Nothobranchius furzeri: one gene and its partner. The protein of the gene in region 1 purifies or fractionates together with the protein of each later gene. This does not show direct contact. Links are inferred from orthologs where the notes say so. Each region holds a gene or a part of one and is shown on either strand. Other genes may lie near its edges. The genes, in order: clns1a and gar1.

Region 1 (16,485 bases):
GAGAACGCACTCAAAGGGAGAGACAGACCGGAAACTAGAGGAGGACTAATAAAGATGGAAAGTAACTCGTGTCAGAAGGGGAGAGTTTCACAAATCCAGTTAAAGGTAAGATTGTTGAAAACTGAGTGAAAGGGGGCCGTGTCTGTGTTCGCCTTGGGCCCCCAAATTGCTAAATCCGCCCCTGCTCCCACTGATGAGTTGTACCTCTGAAAGGCTCGGGTGTTAGGGTTAGCCTAGCCCAAGAGAGTAAAGGCGAGTCTCCAGGTTAATAGTTGATGTTCACCTGATTGTCCTAATAACTGAACATAATAATCAAAGCTCATGTTGACTCTGGCGGTTCTACCTTCCATCTGAGCCCACACGGGCCTAAACCAGGAGAAGTCGCTGACGAACATGAAGCATACAAGATAAAGCAGCAAACCACGCTGCCTTACAGGGATCACCTATTTAAACTCTCCTGTTCTGGTCCATGCAGGTACGCTGGCCTCGGTGCTGCTGTCTGATCAACTCAGCCAGGTGTTCTCACCTGCAGCACAGTCTCTTTACCTGCCACTGCAACCCAAGAAGAGGACGTGAGCGTGGCGTTCCACCCAGAGCCATCAGCTGCTCCAACAGGCTGTTGATGACATCATCATGGGGATTTTCCAGCTGCAGCACAAACAGTCCATCGAACTCTGATCTACGTCTGTCTGGATCCTGTAGGACTTATTTGTTTCTATTTTTATTCTCGTGACTTTCAAATATTTTCTTCTATTTCCAATCCAATCCAATTTTATTTATAAAGCGCATTCACAAGGCATTACAACCAAACAAGGCGCTGTACACTAAAAATGTTGGTTAATTAAACCGGCGTTATACAAACATGTCGAACACAGATAAAAGATAAAAAGGAAATACAACAAAATTCCCAAAAATAACAGCTAAAAATCATTAAGACACAGGGTGAAGTAAAAATAGGAAAAACATTTTACAAAGAACCTCAATAATACGGAAGTCGATAATTGTAAAGTCCATTTTTAAACAGTGCAGATGTCAGTGAGGTTCATAATTATGTTGTATAAGCTAGGTTGAAGTAGTGAGTTTTCAGGCGTGATTTAAAAATGCTAGCTGTTGGTGCTAGCCTCACTAACAGTGGTAATGCGTTCCACAGCTTCGGTGCACAGACAGAGAAAGCCCTCTCTCCACGGCTTTTTAAACGTGCATTGGGAACAGCTAGGAGGAGCTTATCTTCAGACCTGAGAGCACGCGGCGGGTTGTAGTAATGGACAAGTTCACACAGATATGGAGGAGCTTGATGGTTCAAGGATTTGTAAGTGAGAAGCAAAATTTTGAAGTTTATCCTGAACTGCACGGGCAACCAGTGGAGAGCATCCATCTTCAGAGCCTGGTCCATTTTTACTCCAAGGTTGGAGATTACAGAGGATACATTAGGTGAGAGATAGCTGAGGTCAGGTTGATGAGTAGCCGTGGTACTGTAAGGACTGAAAACGATTAAGTCAGTTTTGGAGTCAATAAGATGGAGGAAGTTGTCAGCTAGCCATTGCTTGACCTCAAGGATACAATCAGACAGAACTTTCATTGATTGAGTTGGCTTAAATGAAAAGTAGATTTGACAGTCGTCAGCGTAAAGATGGTATGAGACAGCGTGCTTTCTGAAAATGGCTCCTAAGGGCGGTATATAGAGGTTGAACAGTAACGGGCTGAGAATTGAACCTTGTGGGACACCCCAACGTAGAGGCTGTGACTCGGATGAACAGCCGTCCAACATGACCCTAGCAGACCTGTTACAAAAGTATGACCTAAACCAATCCAGGGCAGTGCCTGAAATGCCAGCCCAAGTGTGAAGTCTTGTGATCAAAATGTCATGATCGATCGTGTCGAATGCTGCAGATGGGTTTGGGTTACCCCTTTAAAACAATAAACCCAAGTCTGGCATAAAGGTCTTTCAATCCAGATTATTTTATGTGTTAAAAACACGACTGAAGGAACAAAGGGCTGCATAGAGAACAGCCTGGGAGCTAAAACCCTGAAGACAGGAAACAATCCTTACACAGCGTCTCAAGGTAGACATCACGAGGCGCGCGACTACAAAATGATACATAAAGAGATTTAAAATATGTTGATGTGATAAAAAATAATAATATAAGGAAAGGTGGAGCAAGGAGAGGGAGGTGATGACGGTCCCACCTGAGCCTGAACAGGTGAGTTTAAAGGAGACCACTGAGTCCACTGATCTCAGGCTCAGGGGGAGAGAGGTCCAGAGTCTGGGGGCCGCAGCAGCAGATGATCTGTCACCTTTGACCTTTAGCCTGGTGCTGCACACTGGACCTCAGGGACCTGCTGGGGGTGTAGGGACTAAGAAGATCACCAATGTAAGATGGTGCTTGTCCATGTAAGGCCCTATAGACCAGAACCAGGATCTTGCACCACATGCAGATGATGTAACTCGTGCCTCTAGAGTCTCACCGTTGTAGACTGAAGTCGGATTTTACGGGTGAAATATTTGCAGAACAACTTCTCTACGATTATGCTACCTACAGCTTCTGCCAGCTTTGATTGGCTGTTAAATCTGGACCTGTGCTGCTGCTGAGGTCATGACCCTCAGATGTGATTCCCAATCATTGGTCTACTGCTGCTCTTTTACATCACACCTGCGTATTTAACATGGCCTGAGTAAATACTAGTGAGCTGCTGTTGGCTCACAGCTGGTTTCCCTCTTTCCTGTTCACTCTCTCTCTTTCTTAACATTTTTAATCACAATTGTCTATTTTTGCTCATTTTAAATATATTTTTAAACATTTTCTAAATTCTTTTTTATATTTTTACATGTTTTGTTCTTGTGAAGCGCCTCGTGGTTTTTATCTTGAGAGGCGCTATAGAAACGATATTTTCTTCTTCTACCCTTTACTGATTTGCCTGTTTGAGGTCAAAGGTCAGATGTTCACCTTCAGGATTCAAAGGGTTCAAATGAAGCAACTGGACTTTGGTTTCTTGAAGACGTTTCGCTTCTCATCCGAGGAGTAACAAACTGTAAAGCACCTTGGGGGGTTCCAGGGCTCTAGAAGGCCCGATAAATACAGGCCAGTGACATGGAGCATCCGTCTGTGTGGGTTTTTCACCCACTGGTCCTGAATGTCCATCTGAACGCACACAGACCAGTATCTGCATCTGGACTCGCATCACCCCCGATGCACAAGCTGTCAGTCATCAGCACTTTACACCATCGGGCCGAGAACGTTCCCACAAAGACTGAAGGAAAACACAAGCTCTCCAGAACTTCAGATACCCGACCTGGGCCTTTGTCAAATCTAGTCCGGAAAAGCATCCAAAGCAGCAACCAGCAAAGAAAAGGACAACCACCATCCCACACGTGGCAGGAGTCCCAGAGAAACCTAGAAGAATCTTCTCCAAACACGACATCCCAGTAAACTTTAACCCAACAACACCCTCAGACAGAACCTGGTCCACCCAGAACCCAAACAGAAGCTCGGTGGTGTGGTTTATGCAGTCCAGTGTAGCGAGGACTGTCCAGATGTTTCCATCGGGGAAACTAAACAACAACTACACACGAGCATGGCACGACACAGGAGAGCCACCTCTTCAGGTCAGGACTCTGCGGTCCACCTGCACCTGAAGCACAAGGACACATGCTGGACAGAGAAGAGAGATGGAGAGAGAGGAGTAAAAGAAGCCATCTATGTCAAACGTGAAAAACCCACTTAAATAGGGGCGGGGCTTAGATTTCACCTTTCTAGTACCTATAATGCAGCTTGGATCCCATTCCTGAGCAGCTTCAGTCTAGCTCACACCTTCCTGTGTCTAGTCAGCACAACGACTTCCTCTCAGTAGATGCTAATGACTCATCATGGGATGGAGAGGAGGGGTATTCAGAGTAGTTTCTGCTGGTTTAATAACAGACAGCTGCAGCTTATGAGCGCGACTCTCCCATATTCCAGTCAGGACTGACAAAGCTCCTCAGATGAGAAGTGAATTGTCTTGGGCGACGGTGAAACAGGAGTCAGGTGCTCGCCCCTTAATCAGAAGGTTGCAGGTTCGAGCCCCGATAGATATAGATTGAGAGGGATGATAGAAAATGAGAGAAATGAGTGTGTCCTACCGCACAATAGCTGCATCCAGGCACGAGTCTGGTAAACAGTGGAGATGTTGCAGAAGAGCACCATGCAGGCGATGCAGCTGAGGATCAGCACCATGGACAGCAGCACGAACGCCGAGGCCACTTTGAAGCCTCCAGACAGGACGGAGCTGAAGTCGGCGAAGCAGCCAGCGCAGTGGTTCCTGGCTGCCGGCTCTGGGCTCCTCACTCACGCAGGAGTGGAAGAGGCCGAAGTAGCCGGTCCGCGTCGTTCGCCGATCCAGCAGGGTTGGACGAACACCATATTGACGATGGCCCACATCACCCTGATGGCTCGGGAGTTGTGCGTGTAAATGTCATGGTAGATCTTGGAGGCTTCTTGGGAAGGCAACATGTTTGGTGTAGTTTCTTCTCCTCTTTGGAGCTATCCCTGCGTCTGACTCACTTCAACAGTCATGGACAAAACGCCGCTCTGCTGGGCCACACACCTAACCTCCATCACCTGCTGCTGCTGGTGGTCGGAGGGACCGGTGGCACCTGCGCTCAGCAGCCTCGCCTGTCAGGGCGCCCCAGGGCAGCTGTGGCTACATCGTAGCTCATCACCACCAGTGTGTGAATGAGTGAATGACTGACTGTGATGTAAAGCTCCTTGGGGGGTTCCAGGACTCTAGAAGGCGCTATATTAAACACAGGCCATTTACCATTCATGAAACCAAAGAAGTCCAGCTGCCTTCATTTGAACCCTTTTGGATAACCGGGACCGGGCCGGCCGAGAACCTCCACCAGCACGCTGCTCAGAACCCTGACCCAGACCCAGAATGGTTCTGAACCAGCTGTAAACATGCTTATTTCAGCTTTTCTAACACACTGCTGCCAGCACCTAGTGGATGAGGCAGGAACTGCAGTTTTAGCCACTTCCTTGCTGGCTTCCTAAACTCCCAGGATTGGTGGGGGGGGTCTGTGTGGGACTGACTCCAGATGGAACGACACGCCCACCCTGGTGGATGGTTTGGGTTAGTGAAGGTCAAACAGCTGAATGTGACGTTCAGCCCATCAGGAACGAGGTGGTGCTAGCTTCTTCAGGCTCGACATATCAACTATTTAAGGAGATCCAACAGTCCGTTCATGAAATACAAAACAATCTTGTTTATTGACACTTTTACAAACACGTTCCTCCAGCAGGAACCACTAAGTTGGTCTTTAGAGCAACAGCATCACATGGATCGGGGAGGTGGAGATTAGAGCTGCTGTCCTCGTTAATCCCACCGCTGCTTCCTCTGGCTGGACGAGATCCGTCTGCAGGAAGTTAAATCATAACCGTCATGACAGGTGACTTCAGATCCCACCTGCACCGGGCCTCGCAGTGACACGTGGTGGGCATGACTCCAAACGTCAAACATGGACCTGAAAGGTGCTGGAGGTGATGAACTCACCAGTGATCCACATCTGCATCCTCAAACTGCCCCGCCTCCATCGCTGCAGCATCCACCTCCATCCCATCTGGGACAACACACACACACACACACACACACACACACACACACACACACACACACACACACGTTAGTGTTCACACACAGCGCCGCTGATCCGAGCAGCAGAAACCGTTACTCCTGCCCCTTCACGGGGACCCCAGGTGCTGAACAACGACAACACAGTAAAAGGCTGAAATTCAACATTTAAAACATTAAAACACGAGAGCAACAGCTAAGAACCAGAACCAGAACCAGACCCGAGATGGACCTTCAGCCTGGCTCTACACGAGCGCAGCGATGGGGACCGTTTCATTTCTGGGGGGTCTTGGTTCCAAAGCCGAGGAACCAGAACCTCTAAGGCACGATCACCTCTGGACTTGGGCTGTGGCTGCAGAACCACTGGGAGGTCGCTCTGACCCGAACGTGGCGATCATGCAGAAACATAGCGGGTCAGCAGTGAGGCTATAGGTGGGCTTGTTCCAGACAGAGACCGGATCTTAGGACAGGGGTTCACTGGTAACCAGTCCAGAGCAGCAGCTTTCTGGAGCAGCTGCAGCCGGGTCAGTAAGGACCGGCTCAGGCCAGCAAGCAGAGACCTGGAGGTCATAAACGCCTCGGCCACAGTTCCCAACTCCTGCGGTAAAAACCGCACGAACAACAGAATCCACCTGCAGAGTCTGGCTGAACACCCAGGTGTGTGTCCCGGACTCGTCGCTGCGGAGACAGGTCCGGTCCATGGAGCTGCTGGTCATCGCAGGTAAAAGCACCGCTTCAGAGGTCAGACGGGTTTCTTTTACGGATGCTTCAGTAAAAACAAACGCGACGGTGGCGGAGGACCGAGTCCCCGCAGCAGAACCGGAGGGTTGCAGGTCCAAGTCCTGCTCAGTCCATCAGCTGTGGTGTCCTTGGGCAAGACACTTGACCCCGCTGTTGGGGGCACCTGTGTACGGAAAAGTGAGACCCTCTAGGGAGGCCCCGCCTTTCTCTTATCTGATTGGCTGGAAGGGCTCTGCTACAACTGACGTCCTCCTGCCACCAGCAGACCCGCGTTCCAGGGTCAGTACCGGACCAGAACTGGGTTACAGGCCAGGGTCAGTACCGGACCAGAACTGGGTTACAGGCCAGGGTCAGTACCGGACCAGAACTGGGTTACAGGCCAGGGTCAGTACCGGACCAGAACTGGGTTACAGGCCAGGGTCAGTACCGGACCAGAACTGGGTTACAGGCCAGGGTCAGTACCGGACCAGAACTGGGTTACACGCCAGGGTCAGTACCGGACCAGAACTGGGTTACAGGCCAGGGTCAGTACCGGACCAGAACTGGGTTACAGGCCAGGGTCAGTACCGGACCAGAACTGGGTTACACGCCAGGGTCAGTACCGGACCAGAACTGGGTTACACGCCAGGGTCAGTACCGGACCAGAACTGGGTTACAGGCCAGGGTCAGTACCGGACCAGGCAACTTTTTCAGACCTCTTCCTCAGAAGTCCGACTGGGACAAGGTGATACTACGGACTGATTGGGTTCGGGTGAGCGGGAAACGAGAGAGCGGTGTGTGTCCTCTGAGCAGCCAACATCTCTGCACAGAGCTCTCGCCACAGCTGCTCAATGGGAGGAGAGCAGACAGCGTGTGTGTGTGTGTGTGTGTGTGTGTGTGTGTGTGTGTGTGTGTGTGTGTGTGTGTTTTATGAGGTACTGGTCCTTCCAGTGAGCTTTGCAGATGTGGGAAAATGTCATCAGGCAGTAATCGTTGTTAAATTCATAATTATTCTGGGAGAGAGACCAACTCTTATCTGCCCCTGGGAGCCCCGTAATGCATAGCGTCATTTCAACATGGGGGTGTCCGCGACACGGTTTACATGCAGGTAGCGGCGCTGCGGCTGCTTTATATAGCGACTCGTTGCGTTCTCCCTCAACCCAAATCCTCGGATCACGCATTTTAGCTAAAACGCTAACGTTAGCTTGCCTTGCGTTGACTGTAGAGTTGTGGGTGATGGTCACGCAGATGTGTCATGAGATTGAAGCGTTGCTGCCTTTCACAGACACTTTTTCTGCACGTGCTGCAAACAGGATAGCCGTCTTCTATCAGCTGTCCCTCGGCATTCTTCATATATCCAAAACATGCCCGTACTTCCCACTTTGTCTTCTTTGAGGGATAATAAATGTCCTGAGCGCTGCCGTCTCCTCCTTTGACCATTATTCCAGCTTTAGCTTCAAGAAAGTTTTGGTTGTAAACAACAAAGTGCGCATGTGCCGCCGGCAACTTCAGCAGATGGTACGGTGGCTGGTAAGGGTCACCGCGCCTACGCCGCAGCCACGGTAATCCACCGAGATGATATAGTTTTTTTAAAAACAAGACGGTTATTATTATTATCAACTTTTTTACCGGGGTTTACCGCTACACCGGTTACCATGACAACCCTAGTCCAAATTTTAGAAACGTTCCATAAAGATTATGAATGTGATGTCATCACGTGACGGCGCGCCGAGAGAACAATGGCGGCTCACGCCTGTTAACAGAGAAAACGACGCGCTTTCTGGTGGAAATAGCTGCCAGCCTTCCCCAGATGCCGCCACTAGCACCAAAGTACCCGTGGGGGTGGTAGAACCCTAGAGGGTACTATATAAATAAAGCATTTACCAAAGTAAAACAGCTGAATAATGAACTTTCCTTCAGTTTTAAATGACATTCATCTAAATCATCACCTCAAATAAACTTGTTTTTACCCTAAACGCACGAGCAGACCGCTGTAAGCCGCACCTGTAGAGCACCCTCCCACACATGAACCCTTTCTGATGATTGGCTGTTTTCTACTTCAACTCTTATGATGATGCTTCCATCTGGGATCTTCTACTAGTCACAAAAGGACTTCTAATAAGAATCCATCAGAAAAATGAAAGCTGACAAACCATCGAACTCCGCCTTGGTTTCTTCGGTTCTGACTCCAGCCATGTGGTACTGCTGAGCCACGGACTGGGCCAGCATCCCCTCCAGCCTCTCCAGCGTGGCTTGACCCTCTTGTGTCAGCGCCGATAAACCCTCGTCACACGTGTAGAAGGTGGGTATGTCGGCGTGGCCGTGCTCTAACCGGGTACAGAAACAGCAGCAGTGGGTAAACAGTTTATATTTTCAGAGTGTGTGTAAGATCTGGATGTTCACCTGCTTCTGCAGATGTCAGGTCCACGAGGAGAAAAACCAAACGTGTCCAGAGAAAAAGAACAGAATGAGTTGAGGGTTGAATATCGTGAGTCGTTCCTAATGGCAGTTACCCACCGGCCTCCTCCACGTCGTACTCCTCCCCCTCAAAGTCGTTATCAGATTCGTCGTCTTCTGGGTCCGGGTGCAGGGCCTGGCACTCGCACATGGCTGAGAACATGGACTCCACTGTGAGGAGAACCAAGGACCAGGGTTAGGGCACGTTCCTTTTTACCAGCCACCATCACAGCTGGCTCCAGATGTTGTCAAGCACCTTGGGGGGTTGTAGACCCCAAGATGGCGCCGTACAACTGCAGACCATTTAGTTTTGCCCAGTTAACTTCCAGCTGAGCTCTCGTTCTTCTGCTGTGCAGGGGTGTAATATATATTTAGCCACCAGAGGGCACAAGAGGGCCACCATCAAAACCACAGAAGCGCTCCTTTAACTAAACATATAAAAATGTTTTTTAACTTTGTGCATCACAATAAAATAACATTACATGTCGTTAATAAAATACCCGAGTCCTAAAACTGCGTGACAAGTTACGGATTGTTGACGATGGTCACAGCAGCTGGAGCACAACTAGATTCGTACCCTTTAGTCCGGCACCTATGCACCAGAAACCTGCGACCAGAGGGCAGAAGCACAAAGCGGCTCTGCAGGGGGTGCAGAAGCAATCCTCTTCACCTGGCTCATACACTGGTCTGTGGCCTAGCAAGCAGACGACCTGGCCACTTAACCATCTCATCAAGTGATGACTTGTTTCAGATTTGCTTAGTCAAACCATGACAACAATAGGAGTGGTAAAGCATGGTCATTATGGTCCTATCGTCTCCTTGAGCAGTGACCAGGAGCTCACGTCATTGATCGGTTTAGGAATAGGGACAACTGCATCCTTCCACATTCTGGGCACCTTTTGTAGCCCTAAAGGTTCATGAAACAAATGGCACAAGCTAGGACCTAGTTCATGTGGGTCCGCGACCACTTGTATTTTATTGATTTTAAGTGTCGTAAGGACCTTCCTCATGTCCTGCAACCCCGTGTCTGCTTAAGGGAACCCCAGGCGTTCCCTCTCTGTGCTAAAGTCCATACAACCAAAGCAGCATCAGCAGGTTCCTCATCAGAGGTCAGACGGTACTGTGGACCTCTTTTCCTTGACCAGCAACAACTTTCATGCTTGTCGAAGCTGAACCTCGTTTGTCTGCTGCCATCTTATTTTATTTATTTATTTACTTGAATGAGTTTTCTTTAAACAACAACTTCAAATTGAGCTTTAGAAACTAAATACCGTAAATCCTCTAATATTAGCCTGTATTTAATTAACTGCCGGGTCTAATATTTTGGCCGGTGTCGGAGTCGGCGGAGGTGAATAATGGCCGGTCTCTTATTGTGGCCGGGTGGAATGTGGTAACAAGCAAGTACGGGGGGCGGTTGTGTCATCCGTCTCACTTCTGATTTGCCAGTGATAGACCGCGAGGGTAACTTTAACCGTGCGGAGACGAAGAGGAGGCGAAAATTTGATATCAAGTTCAAAGAGAACGTGCTGATTATGCTGCAGAACACTCTGGGGAGCAGTAGCAGGGGTTGTATGAACTAGTCACTAGTCGACTTCACCGCTCTATAGTGACTTGTTATGCCTGTCATCGACTAGTCGCTGTCACGTGATAAGGACCGGCAAGATGCAGCCCTCGGAAAAGACAGCAGCCTGCTGTCAGCAGGTGACAAGCTCCTGCGCGTCGGGAGGCAACGCGCTGTGCCAGAGCGTCGGTACCGACACCCGCCGTAAAACGGACATTTAACCAAATTGTGACCTTTACCCTCTTGCAATTTAACCTTCCCCTCACCCCCATCCTAACCTTAACCAGCGTGCGCATGCAAAGCTCTGATTGTTGACGCGCTCCAGACATCTGCGTCCTGAGCACGGCCACAGTAACATTATCAAATCAGGTGTCGCCACCTCAAAAACTAATTTAACACGCGATCGTTCATGTTGGCTCATTTCCTTTTAGGTTTTCTGTCTTTTATTCTTTTATTTGTGCCTGATGCGTTTCGCTGCTGTGGATCGGGGCGCATCACCTGTTTTGTCCTCGGTGACGGACCTCACCGATGAGGCCGGCGAGCACTCCGCTGTTTTAGCGGTCAGTAGATCTTTTAGAACTGCAGTTCAAAGGTAACTCATGAGGTGAATATATATGAACCCAGGTAGCAGTTTCTCTTTAGGATTGAGAGGAGATGCAGGAAGATAATAAACAGGCAGGACAGAAAAATAGTCAAATAAAAACAAGTTAGTTTTGTACCTGCTGGTTGCAACAAACAGACACCATTGAAGGTAATCAGAAGTGAGGAACAGAAAATGAAATAATTATTTTAATGTTTAGAGCAGCAGGAACTCCGAGAGGCTGCAGGCGCATCAGTGAGTTTGCTGCCGCTGCGCAGGGGGAGGGGGGGGGGGGCTGAAGCAGAAACTACCGTTGTTAAAAGAAATGCGTTTAACTTTGAAAATGTGGGCGCATTTTTAATCGTCAAAAACTCCAGCGAACCATTAGTTCATTTTGCTCAAATAGAAATAGAGGCCTGCCTCTAATTCTGGTCCTCCTTCCAATAAAGGCCTGGAGCTTGATGAGCTTGAGTCAAATACAGGCCCGGGCCTGTATTAGAGGATTTACGGTAAACAGGATCTTTCATGGATGTAAATTCAAAGAGTCTGAGTACCCGGCCCGGAGGGTTACCCGGGTCCCACCTTGGAGCCAGGCCTGGGGTTGGGGCCCATGAGCGAGCGCCTGGTGGCCGGGCTTTCGCCCATGGGGCCCGGCCGGGCCCAACCCGAACCGGATACATGGGCTCATCCAACTGTGGACCCACCACCCGCAGGAGGAACATGAAGGGTCCGGTGCAATGTGGATCGGGTGGCAGACCAAGGCGGGAGCCTTGGCGGTCCGATCCCCGGACAAGAATACTGGTTTTTGGGACATGGAACGTCACCTCGCTGGCAGGGAAGGAGCAGGAGCTTACGGCAGAGGTTGAGCGGTACCGGCTAGATATAGTCGGACTCACCTCGACACATAGCATTGGCTCTGGAACCCAAGTCCTTGAGAGGGGTTGGATACTCTCCTTTGCTGGAGTTGCTCCAGGTGAGAGGTGGAGGGCTGGGGTTGGCTTTTTGTTAGCCCCAAGACTCTCTGCCTGTGTGTTGGGGTTTACCCCGGGGGACGAGAGGGTAGCTTCCCTGCGCCTTCGGGTCGGGAAACGGGTCCTGACTGTTTGTGCTTATGGGCCAAATGTCAGTTCAGAGTACCCACCCTTTTTGGAGTCCCTGGGACGTGTGCTAGATAGTGCTCCATCAGGGGACTCCATTGTCCTGCTGGGGGACTTCAATGCTCACGTGGGCAATGACAGCATGACCTGGAGGGGTGCGATTGGGAGGAACGGCCCGCCTGATCTGAACTCAAGTGGTGTTTCGTTATTGGACTTCTGTGCAAGCCGCAGTTTGGCCATAACGAACACCATGTTCGAACATAAGGATGCCCATCGGTACACTTGGTACCAGGGCAGCCTAGGTCACAGGTCGATGACAGACTTTGTAGTTGTATCATATGACCTGCGGCCGTATGTTTTGGACACCCGAGTGAAGAGAGGAGCGGAGCTGTCAACTGATCCCCACCTGGTGGTGAGTTGGATCAGATGGCAGAGGAAAATGCCGCGTAGACCTGGCAGACCCAAACGCATAGTGAGGGTCTGCTGGGAACGCCTGGCAGAAGAACCTGTTAAGACGGTCTTCAACTCCCACCTCCGGCAGAGCTTTGACCGCGTCCCGAGAGCAGTGGGGGACATTGACTCCGAGTGGGCCTTGTTCCACTCTGCGATTGTTGAGGCGGCTGTTGCTAGCTGTGGTCGCAAGGTGGCCGGTGCCAGTCGTGGTGGCAACCCCTGTACCCGCTGGTGGACACCAGAGGTTCGGGGAGCCGTCAGGCGGAAGGAGGAGGCCTACAGGGCGTGGCTGGTCTGTGGGTCTCCGGAGGCAGCAGACAGGTACCGGATAGCCAAACGGGGTGCAGCAGTGGCAGTTGCCGAAGCAAAATCTCGGGCGTGGGAGGAGTTTGGTGAGGCCATGGAGAAAGACCATCTATCGGCTCCAAAGAGGTTCTGGCAAACTGTCCGGCGCCTCAGGATAGGAAGGCAGCAACTCACTCACACTGTTTACAGTGGGGATGGGGAGCTGCTGACGTCAATGGGGCTATAGTCGGGTGGTGGAAGGAATACTTTGAGGAGCTCCTCAAACCCACCTATGCGCATTCCGAGGAAGAACCAGAGCCGGGAGACCTGGGGATGGACTGTCCAATCTCGGGGGCAGAAGTTGCTGAGGTAGTCAAACAACTACACAGCGGCGGAGCCCCGGGGGCGAATGAGGTTTGTCCTGGGTATCTCAAGGCTATGGATGTTGTAGGGCTGTCATGGTTGATACGTCTCTGCAACATTGCGTGGTCATCGGGGGCAGTTCCTGTGGAGTGGCAGACCGGGGTGGTGGTCCCCATCTTTAAGAAGGGTGACCTGAGGGTGTGTTCCAACTATAGGGGGATCACACTCCTCAGCCTCCCTGGAAAGGTCTACTCCAAGGTACTGGAGAGGAGGGTCCGATCGATAGTTGAATCTCAGATTGAGGAGGAGCAATGTGGTTTTCGTCCTGGCCGTGGAACTGTGGACCAGCTCTATACCCTTGCAAGGGTGATGGAGGGGGCATAGGAGTTTGCTCAACCAATCCACAAGAGTTTTGTGGATTTGGAGAAGGCTTATGACCGTGTCCCCAGGGGCACCCTGTGGGGGACGCTCCAGGAGTATGGGGTGGGTGGCTTTCTGTTAAGGGCCATTCAGTCCCTTTACCAGAGGAGCGTGAGTTTGGTCCACATAGCCGGTGGTAAGCCGGACCTGTTCCCGGTGAGGGTTGGACTCCGCCAGGGCTGCCCTTTGTCACCGGTTCTGTTCATTACCTTTATGGACAGAATTTCTAGGTGCAGCCGTGGTGTGGAGTGTGTCGAGTTTGGTGGCAGGAAAATCTCGTCTCTGCTTTTTGCGGATGATGTGGTCCTCCTAGCTTCATCCAGCTCTGACCTTCAGCTCTTGCTGGGTAGGTTCGCGGCCGAGTGGGATGAGGATCAGCACCTCCAAATCTGAGACCATGGTTCTCGACCGGAAAAGGGCGGCTTGCCAACTCCGGGTCGGGGGAGAGGTCCTACCTCAAGTGGAGGAGTTTAAGTATCTCGGGGTCTTGTTCACGAGTGAGGGTAGGAGGGATCGGGAGATCGACAGGCGGATTGGTTCAGCATCTGCAGTGATGCGGACGCTGAGCCGATCTGTTGTGGTGAAGAGGGAGCTGAGCCAGAAAGCCAGGCTCTCAATTTACCGGTCGATCTACGTCCCAATCCTCACCTATGGTCATGAGCTTTGGGTAATGACCGAAAGAACGAGATCGCAGATCCAAGCGGCCGAAATGAGTTTCCTCCGTAGGGTGGCCGGGCTCAGCCTTAGAGATAGGGTGAGGAGCTCGGACATTCGGGAGGGACTCGAAGTAGAACCGCTGCTCCTCCAGATCGAAAGGAGCCAGTTGAGGTGGTTTGGGCATCTGGTCAGGATGCCTCCTGGACATCTCCCTAGGGAGGTGTTTCGGGCATGTCCTGCCGGCAGGAGGCCCCCGGGTTGACCCAGGACACGTTGGAGAGGTTACGTCTCCAATCTGGTCCGGGAACGCCTTGGGGTCCTGCCGTAGGAGCTGGTGGACAAGGCCGGGGAGAGGACGGTCTGGAGCTCCCTAGTTGGGATGCTGCCCCCGCGATCCGGACCCGGATAAGCGGAGGAAGACTATGACGAAACTAAATAAATGACAGATGAAACAAGATAAATAAACATGTTTGGACTGGTGTGTTGTTTGTTTGAACCCATTTGTCTCGTTTCAGAAGTTCTGCTGCTGAAAACACTAAAACATTAAGAATCCTCAACTTACAACAAACATGTTGGACGTTCATTTATATTTGCTGATAATAACATTATTATTATTATCTAGGGCTGGGATGATAAACAAATCAATTAATCGTACGATAGATTAATTCATTTCCTCAGCCTCAATATATCAACGTAAAGCAATGTACAACTCTATTATTATTATTATTATTATTATTATTATTATTATTTATTGTCCTTAATGAAGTGTAGTTTGGTTGTTGACACTGGATGGGCCGTTGTATTTGTTGTTTTGGAGAGAGAGGGTCCATTTTATTGTTTTTAGTGCAGAGAACAGAGTGAAAGTCCTTTTTTATTTATTTATTTAGAAGTCGTAGACATTCTGATGTTAAATAAAGGTTTAATTGGAGCATTTTAATGGGTTTACTTGCATTATTAAGACATATTAACATTACACAAGTGATTAATTTGGTCTAAAAAATGTCAATAATATTATCATCAATAATTTGTTGGACAATATATACTCCAGCAAAAGTTGTTATCGTCCCAGGTCTATGATTATCTATGTCAAACATGAGAAACCCACTTTAAATAGGGGCGGGGCTTAGATTTCACCTGTCCAGTACCTATAATGCAGCTTTGGATCTCATTCCTAAGCAGCTTCAGTCTAGCTCACACCTTCCTGCATCTAGTCAGCACAACGACTCATCAGGGGATGGAGAGGAGGGATACTCAGAGTAGTTTCTGCTCGTTAAACAACAACAGACAGCTGCAGCTTATGAGCTTGACTCTCCCATATTCCAGTCAGAACTGACAAAGCTCCTCGGATGAGAAGTGAAACGTCTTCAAGAAACCAAAGAAGTCCAACTGCCTTTATCTGAACCCTTTTGGACACCATGACCTGGAGGACTGAGAACCTTCACCAGCTTATCGCTGGAAGAAAGATTTAGATGATTCTTTTTGTATGATGCTGTGTTTGTTGTTTGGTAGAGGGACGCATCAACGGCTCGTATTAAACCCGGTTAAAGTGGTAAAAAGAAGCCCGTCCTTGTTTCTGTTGGGGTGTTTGCTTTAAGCAAGACGGTTCGTAGCTGAACATCAGCTACCGGGGTTCTCTTTAAGGTGTTTGAGTAGGAAACTGAATGAATTTGCTCCCAGCCAGAGGTCACATGATCCATTAATGCTGTCACTTTCGTTTTCCTTAAACATCCATTCTTTATGGACAAGGACTTTATTTTAATGTTTAATTTGCTGTTTTTCTTTGTTTTAAGGTGGATCACTACTGAATCAGAATCAGAATGACTGTTTAACTACATTATGTGATCCTTGGATGATTGCTGGCTGTGCAGCGCTTTGTTCAGCTCGCATGCTGTTTAAAGGTTGAACATGTAACACGGACACTGGCGAACTCTGGTGTTCAGAGGTGGTACTGCAACAACAGAACTAATTCTCCAGCTGCTGGGATGTTGGGTCACTGCAGACCATTCGTACAGGGTAAGGACTCGTTTCTACTAACGAGTTTATTTTACATCAGTATTTACCGTCAGAACATCTCATGGGCTCAGAATCAGCTGCTCACTTTACACAGTCCCAGCCTGCCTTGCTGAGAAGGTGTTAGTGTAGCAGTGCCCTCTAGTGGCTGGTTGGTGTAAACATAAAGCTTTTAAAGGTGAAACTGTACATTGAGTCTGCACCCCTCTGAAAGCCCTGTGGAGGTATTATAGCTTTTTATTAAAATGTTCTATATTCTAACTTTAAATGGGATATAT
Region 2 (16,585 bases), on another chromosome or scaffold:
TGTCTACAATCGTATTTAAAATGCTCCAAAACAACAGAAAAGGTCCCATCCACACATTTCGTATGAACCTTTTAAATAAAAATAACCATAAACAGAAAAAAAATACACCATTAAAAACATTAATACAAAAGAAACCCACTCATGGTCATCAAGAAGTTGAAAAGTCTGCTCTGGATATGTCACAGACAAGGATGACATGTTGACAGCAGACCCAACAGCATCCGATCATCTTCCTCCTGTAAGTTACAAAAATAAACCACGTGACAACAATTAACACCAGATGATAAAATGAAAACTAGAAATCGGTAACAATAACAATGCTCCAACCTCTGAATCCACGTCCTCCACCTCCTCTTCCCCTGAAACCTCCTCCACCACCACCACCACGTCCACCTCCAAACCCCCCACCACGCCCACCTCCAAATCCTCCACCCCTGCCACCCCGGAAACCACCTGAAATTAACAACAACAAAAAAAATCACACCACTTTTACAAGCTGTTCAAATAACCGGAAATTGGTTTAGTAGAAACAAAAACCATCCTAAAAAACTTTAAAGCAAAAGACCAAAAAGGACTAAACATCTGAAATGACTCACCTCCACGACCGCCTCTTCCTCCACCTCTGCCGCCTCCCCTTCCTCCTCTTGGCGGGCCTTTCTCTCCTGGGGGCCGAGGCAGGAATCTTTGCAATGGGAGTAGCTTCATCGGGTCTATGTAAAACTGAAAACCCAATTTTAACAAATATCACAACCTGCAGAAGTATCCGAGTTCAGTATCTGAAAACGTTCTTGTTCTCATCAGTTACCTTCTGCATTTTCTTGAACGACGATGCCTTCAAATTTTCAGACAATTTTACAGAAAAATACTGCGCACACATTAGTTAGGGAATTTAATTATCAGGAAGCTTAAAAAAAACCAATAGTGTTTTAATCATTTTACACAGATGACTCAAAAAAACACACAAGAAAGGATACAAAGTCCCTGAGCTGGCCGAATATCTCATCCACTTTTCCAATCTGCTCTTTGTTTTCCAAGTACACCGGGGCATTGAAATAGGGAACTTTGCTTTCTTCTGTTGTACACTTGCATACAATATCATCCTCACAGGGATGCATGAATTCTCCAACAGCTGTGGAGTAGAAACACAACGATGAGTTTCAGAAAACAAAAAAACATACCTTTAAAATTCAAACTGCAGTCTAATCCAGTCATTTTCTGACTGGTCTGTTGAGCCGTGGATACAGGCTTTATAAGAAAACAGGCTACGTTCACACTGAAGAGTGTTGGTGTCACATTTGAGGCACAATTTCAACAACCACACAAACAAAAATGGAATGGAGCGTTAAGACATGCAGTGTGAATGTTGCTTCAATCTGCCAAATAGGAACAACAGTCTACTTACCGACGACGTACTCTGGAGGACCGTAGTCCTGCTGCCTGTTAAAACCACCTCTTCCACCTCCTCGTCCGAATCCTCCACCACCTCTGAATCCACCACCTCGGTTAAAACCTCCCCCTCTCCCACCACCTCGCCCACCTCCCCGCCCGCCTCCTCCTCTGAAAGACATTCTTCTCAAGTCTGTAAATGAAGGTGTCAGGAAAACACACACACGGTGGGTCATTTTACAGCCTTTCATCACCAAGGTAAAACAGAACCGTGGAACGATTACGCTGAAGACGGTCAGCTTTGTCTATCCTTGGTGTCGTGTCATTTTTAAACTTTCTTTCACATTTCTTCAGCTAAATTCAAATTCTTTATTAAATAAATTCTAGTCGCTGGGATTTTTGGTGATCACATAAAATCCTCAGCTTAAAGAGCAAGTCACCCCCAAATCAACTTTTTTTTTTTAGAAACTATATAAATGCATATCTAATCGGTCTGCAGACACGTGTAGTCAATAGTTTTGCACTTTTGTGGATTTTAGTTAAAATTTTAATTTTCTGCCTAAAACTGTCAGTGTTGTGCCGTTGTCAGGTAAAAACTCTGCACTGCATTTGAACTTAAATCTGCCAAATCTCTATTGGCTAAGAGGTACCCTAGAACATTAGATTAATTATGCCAATGCTGGATCTAGAGGGGTTGAAGACCAACAGAACACTAAGGAAGAGAGGAAATCATCTGTCTGTCCCCAAAACAATTTTTATCTGAATCTGGTGCCCTTGGAGCCTGTGAGGCTGAAGTGAATACTCCCCTCACAGAAGAAATGTGGAATGCTGCCGGCCCGTCGCTATGGAAACATTCTCCCTATCCCAGCCTGGGCGGGACTGTGACCGGTGAAGGTTGTGGAACCGTATCTAGGAGTCAAATGTGCCCTCTAACCCATTATCTCCCTCTCCTGTCCAAGCGGAGGTGATGAATGCTGCTCCATGTGGCTGCACGCACTGAAGTGAGGAGAGTCCCAACCCTACCTCCCCACCTAGTGGACACTTGTGTTGTGTAATGTCTAAAGTCTGTGCATATCTGTCTGAGGTGGTTTTTTTTTTTTGCATTGCAAAGCTGCCCTCTGTGTTGAGGGTAACTGAAGTGCCTTTTTTCCCTCCCCCTGACTCTATCCTCATATTAACCCTCTTGATCTATTACGATAGCGCGACTCGGGTTGCAAATGACCACAGTCACCAATTCTTGTCATGTGTCCATGTATGCATGTCTGATCTCAGAATTGTGTGTACTGAAACTCTAATTTCCCTCTGGGATTAATAAAGTATTTTTAAATTGAATTGATTAGCTGGTACCATACGATGTCACAATGTCGTTGTGAGCCTGTGTGTGTGTGTATTTGTTAGCGGCTCCGCCCTCTCGGTCTGCTAGGCAACAGCATTTGTTGCATTTTTCAAACAGGAAGTGGGAGTTGAGTAAGAATCTGGTAGGGGGTAACTTGCTCTTTAAGACCAACGCTGTTGTTTAAAAGTCACATTGAGTGTTTAATTCAAACGTTATTTTCTTATCAAAATTAGAAATTTACTTTTGTGTTATCACTAGGGTTGTCACGGTAACCGGTATAGCGGTAAACCCCGGTAAAAAAGTTGACAATAAAAATAACCGTCCAGTTTTTAAAAAACTATATTATCTCGGTGGGTTTACCGTGGCCGCGGTTTCGGCGCGGTGACCCTTACCAGCCACCGTCGCTTCAGCTGAAGTTCCCGCGGCGCGCACACGCACTTTTTAGTTTGCAACGGCACCAAAACTTTGAAGCTGAAATAATGGCCGAAGGAGGAGACGGCAGCGCCCAGGACATCCATCAGCCGTCAAAGAAGACTAAATCGGAAGTATGGGCATATTTTGGATTTCTGAAAAATGCTGAGGGACAGTTAATAGAAGACTGCTATCCCGTTTGCAGAACGTGCAGGAAACAAGTGTCTGCAAAAGGCAGCAACACTTCGAATCGAATGGCACATCTGCGTGACCATCACCCACGTCTCTACAGCCAGTGCAAGGTAAGTTAACATTAGCATTTTAGCTTAAATGCATGACGTGAGGACTTTTGGTTGAGGGAGAATGCAACGAGTCACTATATACTGCAGCCGCAGCGTCCTCTGCCAGCATTTAAACCGTGTCACGGACACCTGTTGCTGGATGAAGCATCTTATTTGTTGATGATGAAGAGAAATATACAGTTAGTTCCTTGTCATTGATTTGTTTACTTATTCAATGCCATTTATACTTGAACATTTGGATTTGATTACATAGTGTAGTAGTTATTTTAGTAATTTGTTTAAAGTGGCTATTTATTTTAAATACATATTTTTTTAAGGTTGACTTGTACAGTGCTCAAGTCAAGTGTGGACTGGAGTTTTAGATTTTCATTTTGATAATGAAGAAAACAAGTATATGAGAAAACAAGTGGTGTTTCTTTGATTTGTTTACATATTGTTTATGTTTCGAATGTTTGGATTTGTATAATTTAAACCTGCACTGACTACTGTAACATGTTCCAGAAAAATAAGCTATTTGTTCTTTACTTCTGAAAAGTTGCACTTTTGCTAAGGCTTTGTGTTATTTTAGGTTTAATAAACATTGTTAAACCTTTACAGAACTATTTCAGTTTGTGTAGAACAGGACTATCAATGCTTTCTGAACATATGCAACACCGTTTAAAAAATACCGCGATAATACCGAAAACCGTGATAATTTTGGTCACAATAACCGTGAGGTTAAATTTTCATACCGTGACAACCCTAGTTATCACACCTTTTCTCTTTATTCCCACCTGGGCCAAACCAATTTCTTTTCTTTTTTTTCAACCAGTTTGTTTAAGGTCAGTTTTACTCATATTTTTTATACATTTGCAGTGGTCTCAAGTAGGAATGAGTGCCTTGCTTGTAAAGCCTAGTTTATGCTTTTGCATCAGCACACAAATTAACAGAGATGTTTTGATCTCCGACTTGTCCGTCTTCTGGGGAGTGTTGCAAAGCTACCCCTCCAGGAATAGAGGGCGTAGTTCTGGGGTATACTGTCATGTATAATGTCCAAGATAGACCTGTTCCTATTGGGTTAATAGTGTTTGTATTTTAGAAAATTTTTAAGACAGACAAATTTGTCCCTCATGCTCCCCCACCTCTTCATGCGCTCGCCACCTCTAAACCCACGTTTTCTGTAATTTTCGTCCACGAATAGAGCGTTTGCTGTGTGTCTTTTCACTCCTCCAGTCATGGGTGAATAAAACGTTTATATTTTTATAGAGTTCCTCCATGAGGTATTCATCAAGCTGCTCCTTGTGTGCCGCTGGATATCTTTGGCCTTCTTTATATTTTTGAGGGCGCAATGGCAGTGCTGTTGACGAAAGCGGAGTTCTGACCAATCACAAGACTGTATTCTCTGTCTAAAAGATGTTTAAAAAGTGGGTTAGACTGTCCCATCCTTGTGAGCGTGCTGGTGTGCCCTTGCACGGACAGATAACGGTATTATATGGTGTCATGTCTTCAAACCAAAACCCACCAGCTGTTCCAGATGTAGAACTTGAGTTTACTCTATCCAGGAGCTGCTTTTTTTTATATTGTGTTGGATGCCATTTGCTTTTCTCTATATTTTCTATTTATATTTAAACTGTTTTCTTTTTATTTTGTTTATGTTTAAAATTTGACAGTGTTTGTAGTAAGCATTTCTTGAAATTGCTTCATAATAAACTCCACTTTGATATAAACCTCCTTAAAATGTATATAATTTAAGATCAGTCTCCCAATGATATGTATTGACTGTTTAAAATCCTATATTCTCTATATTTAAAATGGTTTTGAGATTGATTCAAAACTAATCCAAGACCCCTTTGCTCCAGTGTCGTTAGCTCCAACCCTGGTCTGGTCACGGAGGGCCCTGTCCAGCATGTTCGTTGTTTCTCTGTTCCAACATACCTAGTTCACCTGCCCAGAGGCTTCGGATCGGCCCGTTAATCACTTGCCGATTAAAACCACGTTTGTTGAAGCAGAAACCTCTAAAACATCTAGGTTGGTGGTCCTAGAGGACCAAATCTGACACCGCTATTTAACTAAGTTCTCGTTTCAAATGTTGTTTTAACCTTGATTTAAACCATTTTAACAGCGGCAATCGATCATTTTCCAGACTGTATTCCATTTCAAAAATATCTGCAACCTCTATAAACGGTTACATAACTTAATACCAAACTAAAAACCGAGAACAGACGTGATTGCAGTTCACGGCGTGGATTATAGCATGTAGATGCTAACGCGTTAGCTTAAACCGCAATTAAGACGTTTACACGCTCAGTTATTTTAACGGACAAAACGCAACATCTGTTGAGTTTCTTTTAAATTAAACATTTTAAACATATGTGACAAAAGTACAGAGGAACTTATTTACCTGGACTACAAGAAGCCTTTTCGCACTCAAATAACACGTGTGACCATAGACTGTCGTAAACCCGATTACCACAGTCGGAAAGTGTCGTAATTGCCCAACGGTAATATTTATATGAGTAAAGCGCTTTTTGGAGGCATCGTTGATATGTGATGCAACAGCAAGTGGGACAGCTCAAAAGTCGCTTCACAGATAAATGGATATAAACATATCTTCATGTTTTAGTGGACTGCAGACTGAGTAGCCATTAATCAGCTATGGCAAAGGCAGGACAGGTGAGTATTTTTTGATATTTTTCACCGTGTTTAGACTGCTTGTTGATCCTTGTCTTGTGATTTTATTTGAAACCTGAATGAATGTGTATTTTATATTACAAAAGGTGATCAAGTGTAAAGCAGCTGTTGCTTGGGAGCAGAAGAAGCCTTTGTCTATCGAGGAAGTGTTGCTCCACCTAAGCTCAAGGACATAATTCAGCAGCACTTTCATAAAACATCATGACTTTATGCGTGTGATAGTGAAAAGTATTACGCATGTGAACATTTTTCACATCCACATATGCAAACTGCAAGATGAATCATTTCCTGATTTATTTATTTCCTTTCTTTACTTTATGCAACATATTTTTGCTACTGGACTGTGCCACACAGACTGGGAATACCTGTATGAGACTGGGAAAAGACTGAAATTCAGATCATTCCCTTTAGTTCTTGGCCACGAGGCAGCGGGCGTAGTGGAGAGTGTTGGTCCAGAGATCCATCATACCCTGTACAGGCCATATACCCTGTACAGGCCATCATACCCGGTGAGAATGCATTCTCACCGGGTATGATGGCCTGTACAGTTAACTCAAAAGTTGTGATGAGTTCTAACTTTCAATTTTTGTCCTTCTGTTTTGTCGCCAGGAGATAGTTATTCCTCTTTTCTTGCCTTTTTGTGGAAAGTGTGATCGGTGCCAGAGCTCAAAAACAAACTTTTGCAGGAAGAACTGGTAGATCATCTTTGTCACATGTTTAGAAACACAAACATCACATGGGTGTTGGTCTGAATGCACATCATGTGATTTCTAGGGACAATGCACAAAAGGGCGTAATGTCTGATGGCACAAGCAGGATTTCCATCAAAGGTCAGTAGGTCTATCAGTTCCTCGGTATTGACTCCTTCTGTCAGTACACAGTGCTTCCTGACACATCTCTGGCAAAAGTAGCTGATGCACCTCTGGGCAAAGTCTGCTTGTTAGGCACCGGTTATGGTGCTGCTATCAATTCAGGCAAAGTAAGGGGCCTCTAACCAGTAAACAGCTTTGTTCATTCTATAGTTTATGTACTTTCTAATGTTAAAGTGGCTGTTTTTTGCAGAAAGTCATCTTCTTAGTGTGTGTGTGTGTGTGTGTATATATATATATATATATATATATATATATATATATATATATACACTTTTCAAGGTGTAGATCTCACCAGTAGATAGCACTAGATGTTTTTGCCTTTAACCGGATGTTTGCTACATGATAAAATACGCACGAGATATCATCCATTTTAGAAATGAATAATTTACCAGATTATTTTTATTATAAATGGTTTCATGCGTGTTTAAAAAGTCACAGTCAACACTGTAACACTTTGGCCTTAAATTTAATTCCAGATAAAAATGTGCAAATATTTTGGGCATTTTGTTAACAGTTTGGCTTCAGCTTTGTACAGCATCCATTTTTAAAACATATTCTCTGAAACATGAGACTAGGAGCATCATTGCAAAGTAAAATTATAAATTGTGGTTGAGCTTCAAATTAATATTTGTTACAAATGCAATAAATAACACATCGCTAATTAAATTGGGCTATTTGACTTGGTTTATATGGTGGACAACATTTTCACACGCATTAAAACTGCACCTTTCACTCTCCACAGCTACATCCAGGTTTTATCTTTTACACCCAGATTTACACCGGCACACCTATCGACAAATAACTCTAGCCATTAATTTGTATCAGTGACTGTATGCCTCATCAGTGAAAAAAATGGTTGTTTTACTTCTCTTTTTCAGGTTGAAAAAGATTCCTAGTGTGCCTTGTTTGGATTGGGAGCCGTCGGAATGGCTGCCATTATAGGCTGTAAGAATGCCATGGCGAAAACGATCATCGGGGTTGACACCAACCCTCAGAAGTTTGAGAAGGCCAGGCTGTTTGGAGCCACTGAGTGCATCAGCCCGAACAATGGAAGCAAATCCATCCAGGAGGTTCTGGTGGAGAAGACAACTGGAGGAGTGGACGTTGCTCTGGAGTGTGTCGGAAAGCCAGACGTCATGGTGGATTTGTAATTATCTGATTAATTAAACCTAGAGTCAAGAGTCTGCAGGTTGCTACGGACTGAGTGTGCCAGGAAGTTACAGGTAGTTCAGGTATGAGTTGTGCAAAAATAAAAGTGGTTGAATGCTCTCTAAAATTATTGATTATTTTCTAAATATCTGCGTCAACATGTAAGAAAATAAAGAAGACTAAACTCAAACATCTTGTGCTTTCTCAGATTGCAGCATTAGAGTCCACAGCTGAAGCCTGTGGGACCTGCGTCATCGCCGGGCGGATGGAGACTGAAACGATGAGTGTCCCAGTCATAAAGATCCTGATGGGACGCACCTTGAAGGGGACGTATTTTGGAGGTAAGCTGGAAACAAGTTCAATGGTTCACCATAAAGCAGCTGTTGGTCGTAATCCAGGAGCAGAGCTGGATGAGTATAAGACTAAGAGAATCAAAGTTCTCCTTAAGTTGTTTAAACACAAAATAACTGTGTTTGAGGGTTTCCTGTAGGATCTGGTGAGTTATGGTTTTAAATATTCATCTAAAATGTAGTTCTGAATGACCCAGAGTGGTTTCTCTGAACTAAACGTGATCACCACCTTGTTATTGTCATTGTCTTCTGAAGGCTGGAAGAGTGTGTTGGGTGTGCCGAAAATTGTGGATGACTACATGAGTAAAAAGTTGAAGCTGGATGAGTTTATCACCCACACGCAGCCGCTGAATGAGATCAACACGGCCTTTAACCCCCTGGAGAATGGTGAAAGGTGTCGTCATTTATGTCTCTCAGTTTTAGTTGACTTTTTTATTTCTATGTGCTTGTTTGTAGATCCCTCTAATCCAAGGGTGTCCTAATTGTTTAGGATGAGGGCCAAAATTGTCAAGTTATAGTCCTGGCAGGCCACAAAATATGTTTGTTTTTGAATTTACATAATGCAAAAATTATTTTATGGTGCTTTTCTTACACGTCAGATTAGGTCCAAAGTAAGGATATTAGTAAAAATCTGAAAACAACAATGTCAAAGTGTCCAGTACCCTCACTTCCTCAGCCATTAAGTACAGTTTGTCACAGTCTGACTTTTTAAAGGTGCAGTATGTAAGAATATAGAGAGAATTTTACAGTGACTCCCAATAGAGTCAAATTTTTCTGTCATTTAAGAAAGGAAGGTTATACTGAAACATATTTCATATCCAGCTGGCTGTGGGGATTGTCAGTTTTTCTCCTTTCAAAACAAAGGAAAAAGGGACGTTACTACTGTTTGCCATCAGAGTGTGGGGGTGCCGTGTCTCCTGCGGGCTAATACTGCAGCGCCGACATTTTTAATTTGACGACAGCCGGCAAAAAGCTTGAGTTGTTTAAAATGGGTGCAGTAACCAAATTTTACCACATGGTGTCATTTTTACTTCATTTCTACATAATATAAAAAGGAAGTGCTTCAGTGTGTAAAAACAGGAAAGTAGTGGAATAAATTCTTAGGAAAACACTAGTTTTAGAAACTATTGGGCATATAAAATGATCGTCCAAAACATTATGAACACCCACTATTATAATTGATCATCTTTAAAATGGCTCCTTCTACTGGGAGGAAATCGGAAAGCAATCTAGTCTTTAACGTGGATTTATTGAAACAACATTTGAGCAAGCATGATAATCGTCCAAACAGCTGGGCGATGGCATTTTCACAACTTTAGTTCTTGCACAGTCCTTTTCTCAACATTATGTGGACATCAGGGTCTGTGCTATTTACCTTGAGAAGATAAGTTTTTATTTCTTTAGGTAGCAAGATCATTTAAAAATTGTTGCTGACCGCACAAGGATGCACTCGGGGAAAAGAGTTTAGGGGTGGAGCTTCACGGGTAAAAGGTACTGCTTGTTCTCAGCCACCATTTTCAGGGATAGATGTATCAGACTAAGGTAGGAAATGTGGTTCAAAAATGGTTTGAGGAACATAACAAGAGTTCAAAGTGTTGAGTTTACTTCAAGGCTGTCCTGATCTCCGTTTGGTCAAGAACAACACCGCAGTGGCTTTATTTAGTTATTAGCAGAATGTCTTCGTGTCAAATCCCACATCACACCTTAAGGCTGTTTTAGCTGCAAAATATGGACACCTTTCATAACATGCATATAGTTGTGGCAAGGTGGAGAAGCGAGGGCGCAGGCAGGATTCGATCCCCAGACTCCCGGGTGAGAATCACACGCGCTAACCAGTCAGCCAAAGGGACATCCCCGTGGCCAAGTAGCCAGGGCGCATGATCAATCGGGTCACTGTGACAGGACGCTCACACTGCCACATAGTCATAATATTATGGCTATTTCGATGCACTGTATTTGTTATTCTGTGTGTTGTGTATTCATCTAAAGATGTTTTTCTAAGCTGGTTCATGACTGTTTAGAGTATTTCTACTGAAAGGATGCTTTGTTTGTAATGCTGGGACTGATCAATGTTAGTTTTAAAAAGATCTAACAACTTTATTATTCAAATAAATGAATTTATTTAGTTAAAGGAATTGTTTAATCACTATTTTTTAGTTGTTTTGTTTTTTCTCCTTTTCTCAGCATCCGCTCTATCAGTCTTCAGGACTGTGAAGAAGATAAACCAAAGACATGAAGAATTTACTTGCTTTCATCACTGGATAAAAAAGGAAACATTTCTTATTTGTCTTTACCATTCATGCGTTTTTAAGAAAGTAAAACTTTTTCTTTGCAGCTAATTCCCACATTCACCACTAGGTGGCACTTTTACATCACACACAAGATTCTGTTGTGTGAACAAGAGCATCTAACCAAATCAACGTCTTTTTGTTCTGTGTAGAGATTGCTATTTTATCTGGGTTAAATGTTGATGTCTCCTATTTTTTGCTCAAAGCTTTGATGAAAACCTGAATTAAAAACATAAAATGTTCTTTAGACTTCAAATTTATAAACTGCCTCATCTCCACAGGGCTAATTCTCCCTACATCTGTCGTACTTGGCAGTTCCAGTGACACTGATTCTGCTTCAGACTATCTTGTCTGAGAAGTTGGGCTAAAAAACTCTGGCACCAAATCAGCCGTGGAGAAATATCTGCTTCATGTGGTCAGGCTTACCGCGTTTCGTCCTTGGTAATATTACGTATCGATTTAAAAAGGGAGAGTCATCAAGAGCGGTTAGCAAAACAGTTGCAGGCTGTCAGGTCAGAAGACAAAGGGTTGTTTGGGGATTGCGTCTGTAAAGAACCAAAAATAGCTGTCCAAGGAATTTGTTTTATTGAAGTGTTGTTCGGATCAAATGAATACCTTTGGCAGCGATCCGGATTTTCCATCTTCTTCTAAAGTGGAAAACAGATTTGTCCTCTTGTCTTTGGTTGGTCTCCTCTGCCTGCACCATTAATCACAAACTGCACAACTTAGAACAACTCTTTATACATTTGGGGAAAATAATTCAAACTTTAGAGAGAGGGAAGGAGAGCCATGATGATAACAAAGTAGCAGGAGGAGATGAGAGATCAAAAGCGAGAGGAAGACGAGTTTTAACAGGTGTTGGTGAGGCTGGGTACCGTCGTCTGTAAATGCTGGACTAGCTCACAGATTTATAAGGCTTTCTTGGGTACATGTGTCTGAACGTCTTTCTAATCTTTGGGAAAACTATCCAAAGTGATGACTCCAAGTCTACTACCCTCTTTTTTTTACTTTTTGATCCCAGTATCCTCCGGAGTTGTCACAGCATTGTGCAACTGATACGTGGAGGACATGCTGTCTGAGTTAAAACCACTGGACTGCACGCTTTTTAGGGCTCGATTGTCTGTCTCTTCATGTTTCATGTTAATGTCCAGTTTGTCTGAAGTTATTGTTGGAAAGATAAAAGGGTTTAGAAAACTGAATAATGATACTTGATATGTTTCAATGCTGGTGTTTGTTCACGATGACTCTTTTACACATAGGAAATAATAATAATGATGCATTAAACTTATATGGTGCTTTTCAGGACACTCAAAGACACTTTCACACACTCACATTGACACACTGCTAGTGATAGTAAGCTACTTTGTAGCCACAGCCGCCCTGGGGCAGTCTAACAGAGGCGAGGCTGCTATGCGCCGTCGGCCCCTCTGACCACAACCAACACATGGTACAGTGGTGTGAAAAACTATTTGCCCCTTTTTTATTCTTTTGCATGTTTGTCACACAAAATGTTTCTGATCATCAAACATGTTTAACCATTAGTCAAAGATAACACAAGTAAACACAAAATGCAGTTTTGAAATGATGGTTTTTATTATTTAGGGAGAGAACAAAATCCAAACCTACATTGCCCTGTGTGAAAAAGTAATTGCCCCCTGAACCTAATACCTGGTTGGGCCTCCCTTAGCAGCAATAACTGCAATCAAGCGTTTGCGATAACTTTTACAGTGCTCTGGAGGAATTTTGGCCCTCTCATCTTTGCAGAATTGTTGTAATTCAGCTTTATTTGAGGGGTTTCTAGCATGAACCACCTTATTTTTTAATAAGATGTTGTAGGGTTTATAGTTGGTGGTGTTTACCTGAGGCCAAACCTTAACAAAAGAAAACAATCTTAGCTGTTCTTATGACTAGTGAATCAGAACTGGTCTACTTGCCTTCAGCCGATGTTCTGCATCCTCAGAAAAACTTCTGTCCAATGCAAGAATTTCCTGCGTCAGACCGAAGAATCAGTCTAACTATTTTATGTTTGAGTAGATTTCCCAGATGCTAGCCTTTGCTTTTACATTTTGTTTTTTTTTCATAAGCAAAAGTAACTGTGTAGTGGAAAGCAAACATGTGGAGGGACGTGTATTTGCTGGAAAGTAATATCAAGATTGGATTTTTAAATAAATGTGAAGGTATTTGTTCATTTGAGTAATTCTTTTTCAGGTTTTCTTTTTCTATCCAGTGCATAGTAGTGTTAATTCTAATCATAGCATTTCACTTAAGAAATGTTCCAGTTCAATTTTTTATATTAATAATAATAATAGTAATAATAATGCACATTTCTAAGCCAGGGACTCTAAAAAAATGTACAGTTCGGTCATTCACACACTGATGGTGGTGATGAGCTACAACGTTACCACAGCTGCCATGTGACACACAGACAGCGGAAAGGCTGCTACACAATCTGTGCCACCGGTCCCTCCAACCACCAAGTAGGGTGAAGTGTCTTGCCCAAGGACTCAACTGACACTGAAGGAGCCCTGGGTTTTAATCGGCAACCCACTGACTACAGGGCAAACTCCTAAACCCTGAGCCACTTTCACAAATGTTAGAACTAGACCTCTTGACTGGAACATTTCATCTGTTTGTGCATCTTTCTGGTGAAATAAATATTTCAGTAGTATTTCATAGTCCATAGTTCCACTGCAACACGTCAAACATTAAAACCCTCATTTTCTAAAGATTTTATGAAAGTCAAAACCATGTTTGACAGCTAGAACGCAGAATTCATGTAGTTTACAACCCCAAGTCGACCCACTTAAGTCCCTGAGAACTGCCACTGTGAGGCCCCTGTTTTATCAGTAAATCCTAGCCATTATGTGCCTAATGCCTGGCATTGGCTGTGATATCCTCGGCCTTTCCTTGACACAGTTAGCTTTAGCTTCTGTCTCAGTAGTGGAATATACTGAACCTCATTTGAGGATGGCATAACATTTTCAGGGACAGTTTTGTCTCAAGCAGTGGCAAATCTTGTAAAGTAGGGTGTCCTGTTTTAACATTAAATTGTCAAATAAAAGTTGTGCAGGTTTGACTGATATATTAAAAGACAAGGCATTATAATTAGAAGTTATAAAATTTTAAGTGACAGAATGGGGACATTTTACCTGCAATAAAATGCATTGAGCTTTAAAAAGATGCATGCTAATATGTCATGTACTTAGAGCAGGAACATGTAAGGAGTCTATAGTGAAATAATCACAAAACAGCTTAATGTCTCAGTCCTGTTGGAGGGAAGGTTACACTGAACAGATCTGCTGTCTCAGACGACTGGGTGGTGGTCGGTTTTCTCACTTAAAAAAACACAAAAAGGGACGAAGTTACTGTTTACACTCAGTGAGTTTGTGAGGTTGCAGAGTCTGCACTAAGCTAACTCTGCAGCATCTTTTTTTCTTTTTACTCTATTATCGGTAGAAGCAGGCTAAAAGCCAACGGTGAGCTAACAATGCTAAAGGTGAACTAGAAAAAAAAAATCGGTGGCACAGGAGTTAAGTGCTCGCCCAGTAATCGGAAGGCTGCAGGTTCGAGCCCCGCCCAGTCTGTCGCTGTCGTTGTGTCCTTGGGGCAAGACACTCAACCCACGTTGCCTGCTGGTGGTGGTCAGAGGGACCGGTGGCGCCAGTGCTCGGCAGCTTCGCCTCTGTCAGTGCACCCCAGGGCAGCTGTGGCTACATTGTAGCTCATCCCCACCAGTGTGTGAATGTGTGTGTGAATGGGTGAATGACTGATTGTGTTGTAAAGTGCCTTGAGGGGTTCCAGGACTCTAGAAGGCGCTATATCAAATACAGGCCATCTACCATTTAGCTCTAAAATTATCCAAAGAAAGTTGTTCAATAACCAACAACTTGACATTCCAGTAAAATGTATGTGGGGAGTGAATGATGAGTCAATTGTGGCGTTTTACTTCTTTTAATGAGTCATTCAGAACTATAACCAGAGACATATTTATGTAGATGGCCCGTGGACTGGCTCTGCCTAATGGAGCTGCTGTAGTGGCCAGCAGCCATTTTAGATTTGCCCCCAGTGCATTCATTTCCTCTGAGGAAGGTGCTTACACAACTAAAAAACACACTTTAATCAAGCTTATTTCACAAAATCAGACACATGGTATGTCATGATAATTAAATTATACATGTAATTTAACAAACTAAATGAAAATATAAGGTAGCCTAGAAAAGTCAATAGTAATCCTATGTGATCTGTTTTCAATAGTACACAGGTTATTGCAACCGTAGGCTGCACAAAAATGGCCATAGTTGCCCACTCTGCATTGACTTTTGAGTGAGACCCATCCAATATGGCGGTGACACTGTTACACTCTCCAGTGCCCAATGGGGTATCTACATATTCATATCTATCTTTAAATATAACAGCAAGACAGCAGAAATATTGCCATAATACGTGTAGTGAATGCTCCCTAACATAAAACACCAAAGAATACTAACACCAGATATACTAAAACTCAGCTCTGCGTACTCTTATTTCTCTCTCCTCTCGACAATTTGTGTGATGGGTGGGTCCTTGTACTATTCTGGTCTGCAAATTAAACTGAAGCAAACATCTTTGCTGAGAACAACATTTACCATGCATCTTCATTCCTTTTGCCATCTTCAAACAGTTGATTTTTCCTTCTCGAAACTCGGAAATTCCAAGTTCTGAGAAGAAAGCGAACGCACCATTAGCTAATGTTAACAGAAACTCAAATATCAAGCTAATACTATCTTAAACAGTTTATTTACCTGCTGGAGCAGATTAAGATGATGATGCCTCACTTAGAGTGTTGTCAATGTTGTCATCTTCCTCCAATCCTTGAAGTGAAGCCAAACTTTAAAGCGCTTTCTGCCATGCTGTTTGCTCTATTTACAGTTCACCTCCTAGCAACTGACGACATTATACTCTTGCGCATGCGCTGCTGTCTATCACGACAAATCGCTGTTTCGCAAGTTCTCATTAATGGAGGACAGGTACTGAAACAATTCACCATTTCATATAATACAACTAAATCCTCGGTAGGTGCCACAGAATTTTGTCAATGCTGTTAAAATTACAGAATTTGCCATCCCTAATGACTCATGTTTGTCATCTACAATCTTCGGGCACTGATCCGTAACTGGCAACAGCCATGAAACTCACATAATGATAGTGAGAAGTCTACCGTAAATCCTCTAATACAGGCCCGGGCCTGTATTTGACTCAAGCTCATCAAGCTCCCGGCCTTTATTGGAAGGAGGGCCAGTATTAGAGGCAGGCCTCAATTTCTATTTGAGCAAAATGAACTAATGGTTCGCTGGAGTTTTTGACAATCAAAATTGCGCCCACATTTTCAAAGTTAAACACATTTCTTTTAACAACGGTAGTTTCTGCTTCAGCCATCTCCCCCCTCCCCCTGCGCAGCAGCCACAAACTCACTGATGCGCCTGCAGCCTCTCGGAGTTCCTGCTGCTCTAAACATTAAAATAATTATTTCATTTTCTGTTCCTCACTTCTGATTACCTTCAATGGTGTCTGTTTGTTGCAACCACCAGGTACAAAAACTAACTTGTTTTTATTTGACTATTTTTCTGTCCTGTCTGTTTATTATCTTCCTGCTTCTCTCAATCCTAAAGAAAAACTGCTACCTGGGTTCATATATATTCACCTTATGAGTTACCTTTGAACTGCAGTTCTAAAAGATCTACCGACCGCAAAAACAGCGGAGTGCGCGCTGCTCGCCGGCCACGGGAGGCAACGCTCTGTGCCAGAGCGTCGGTACTGACACCCGCTGTAAAACGGACATTTA

What was found.
Region 2: the proteins of clns1a (region 1) and gar1 purify together in Homo sapiens (affinity purification with mass spectrometry; 3 studies listed by BioGRID and IntAct, counting the BioPlex papers as one, with this or other methods). This does not show direct contact. The link is inferred for Nothobranchius furzeri from reciprocal best matches to the Homo sapiens genes CLNS1A and GAR1.

The regions. Positions count from the first base shown.
Region 1 is NC_091753.1:60,556,694-60,573,178, reverse strand, and holds the end of clns1a (methylosome subunit pICln), read right to left. Parts: intron 8,953-16,485; coding exon 8,842-8,952; intron 8,734-8,841; coding exon 8,728-8,733; intron 8,652-8,727; coding exon 8,478-8,651; intron 5,594-8,477; coding exon 5,527-5,593; intron 5,390-5,526; coding exon 5,389-5,389; 3' UTR 5,220-5,388; downstream 1-5,219. Other genes in the region: aqp11 (aquaporin-11), read left to right, coding at 476-576. UniProt on the Homo sapiens protein: Involved in both the assembly of spliceosomal snRNPs and the methylation of Sm proteins.
Region 2 is NC_091741.1:77,338,839-77,355,423, reverse strand, and holds the start of gar1 (H/ACA ribonucleoprotein complex subunit 1), read right to left. Parts: upstream 2,786-16,585; 5' UTR 1,638-2,785; coding exon 1,403-1,637; intron 1,130-1,402; coding exon 975-1,129; intron 866-974; coding exon 806-865; intron 721-805; coding exon 597-720; intron 454-596; coding exon 328-453; intron 237-327; coding exon 226-236; 3' UTR 1-225. UniProt on the Homo sapiens protein: Required for ribosome biogenesis and telomere maintenance. Part of the H/ACA small nucleolar ribonucleoprotein (H/ACA snoRNP) complex, which catalyzes pseudouridylation of rRNA.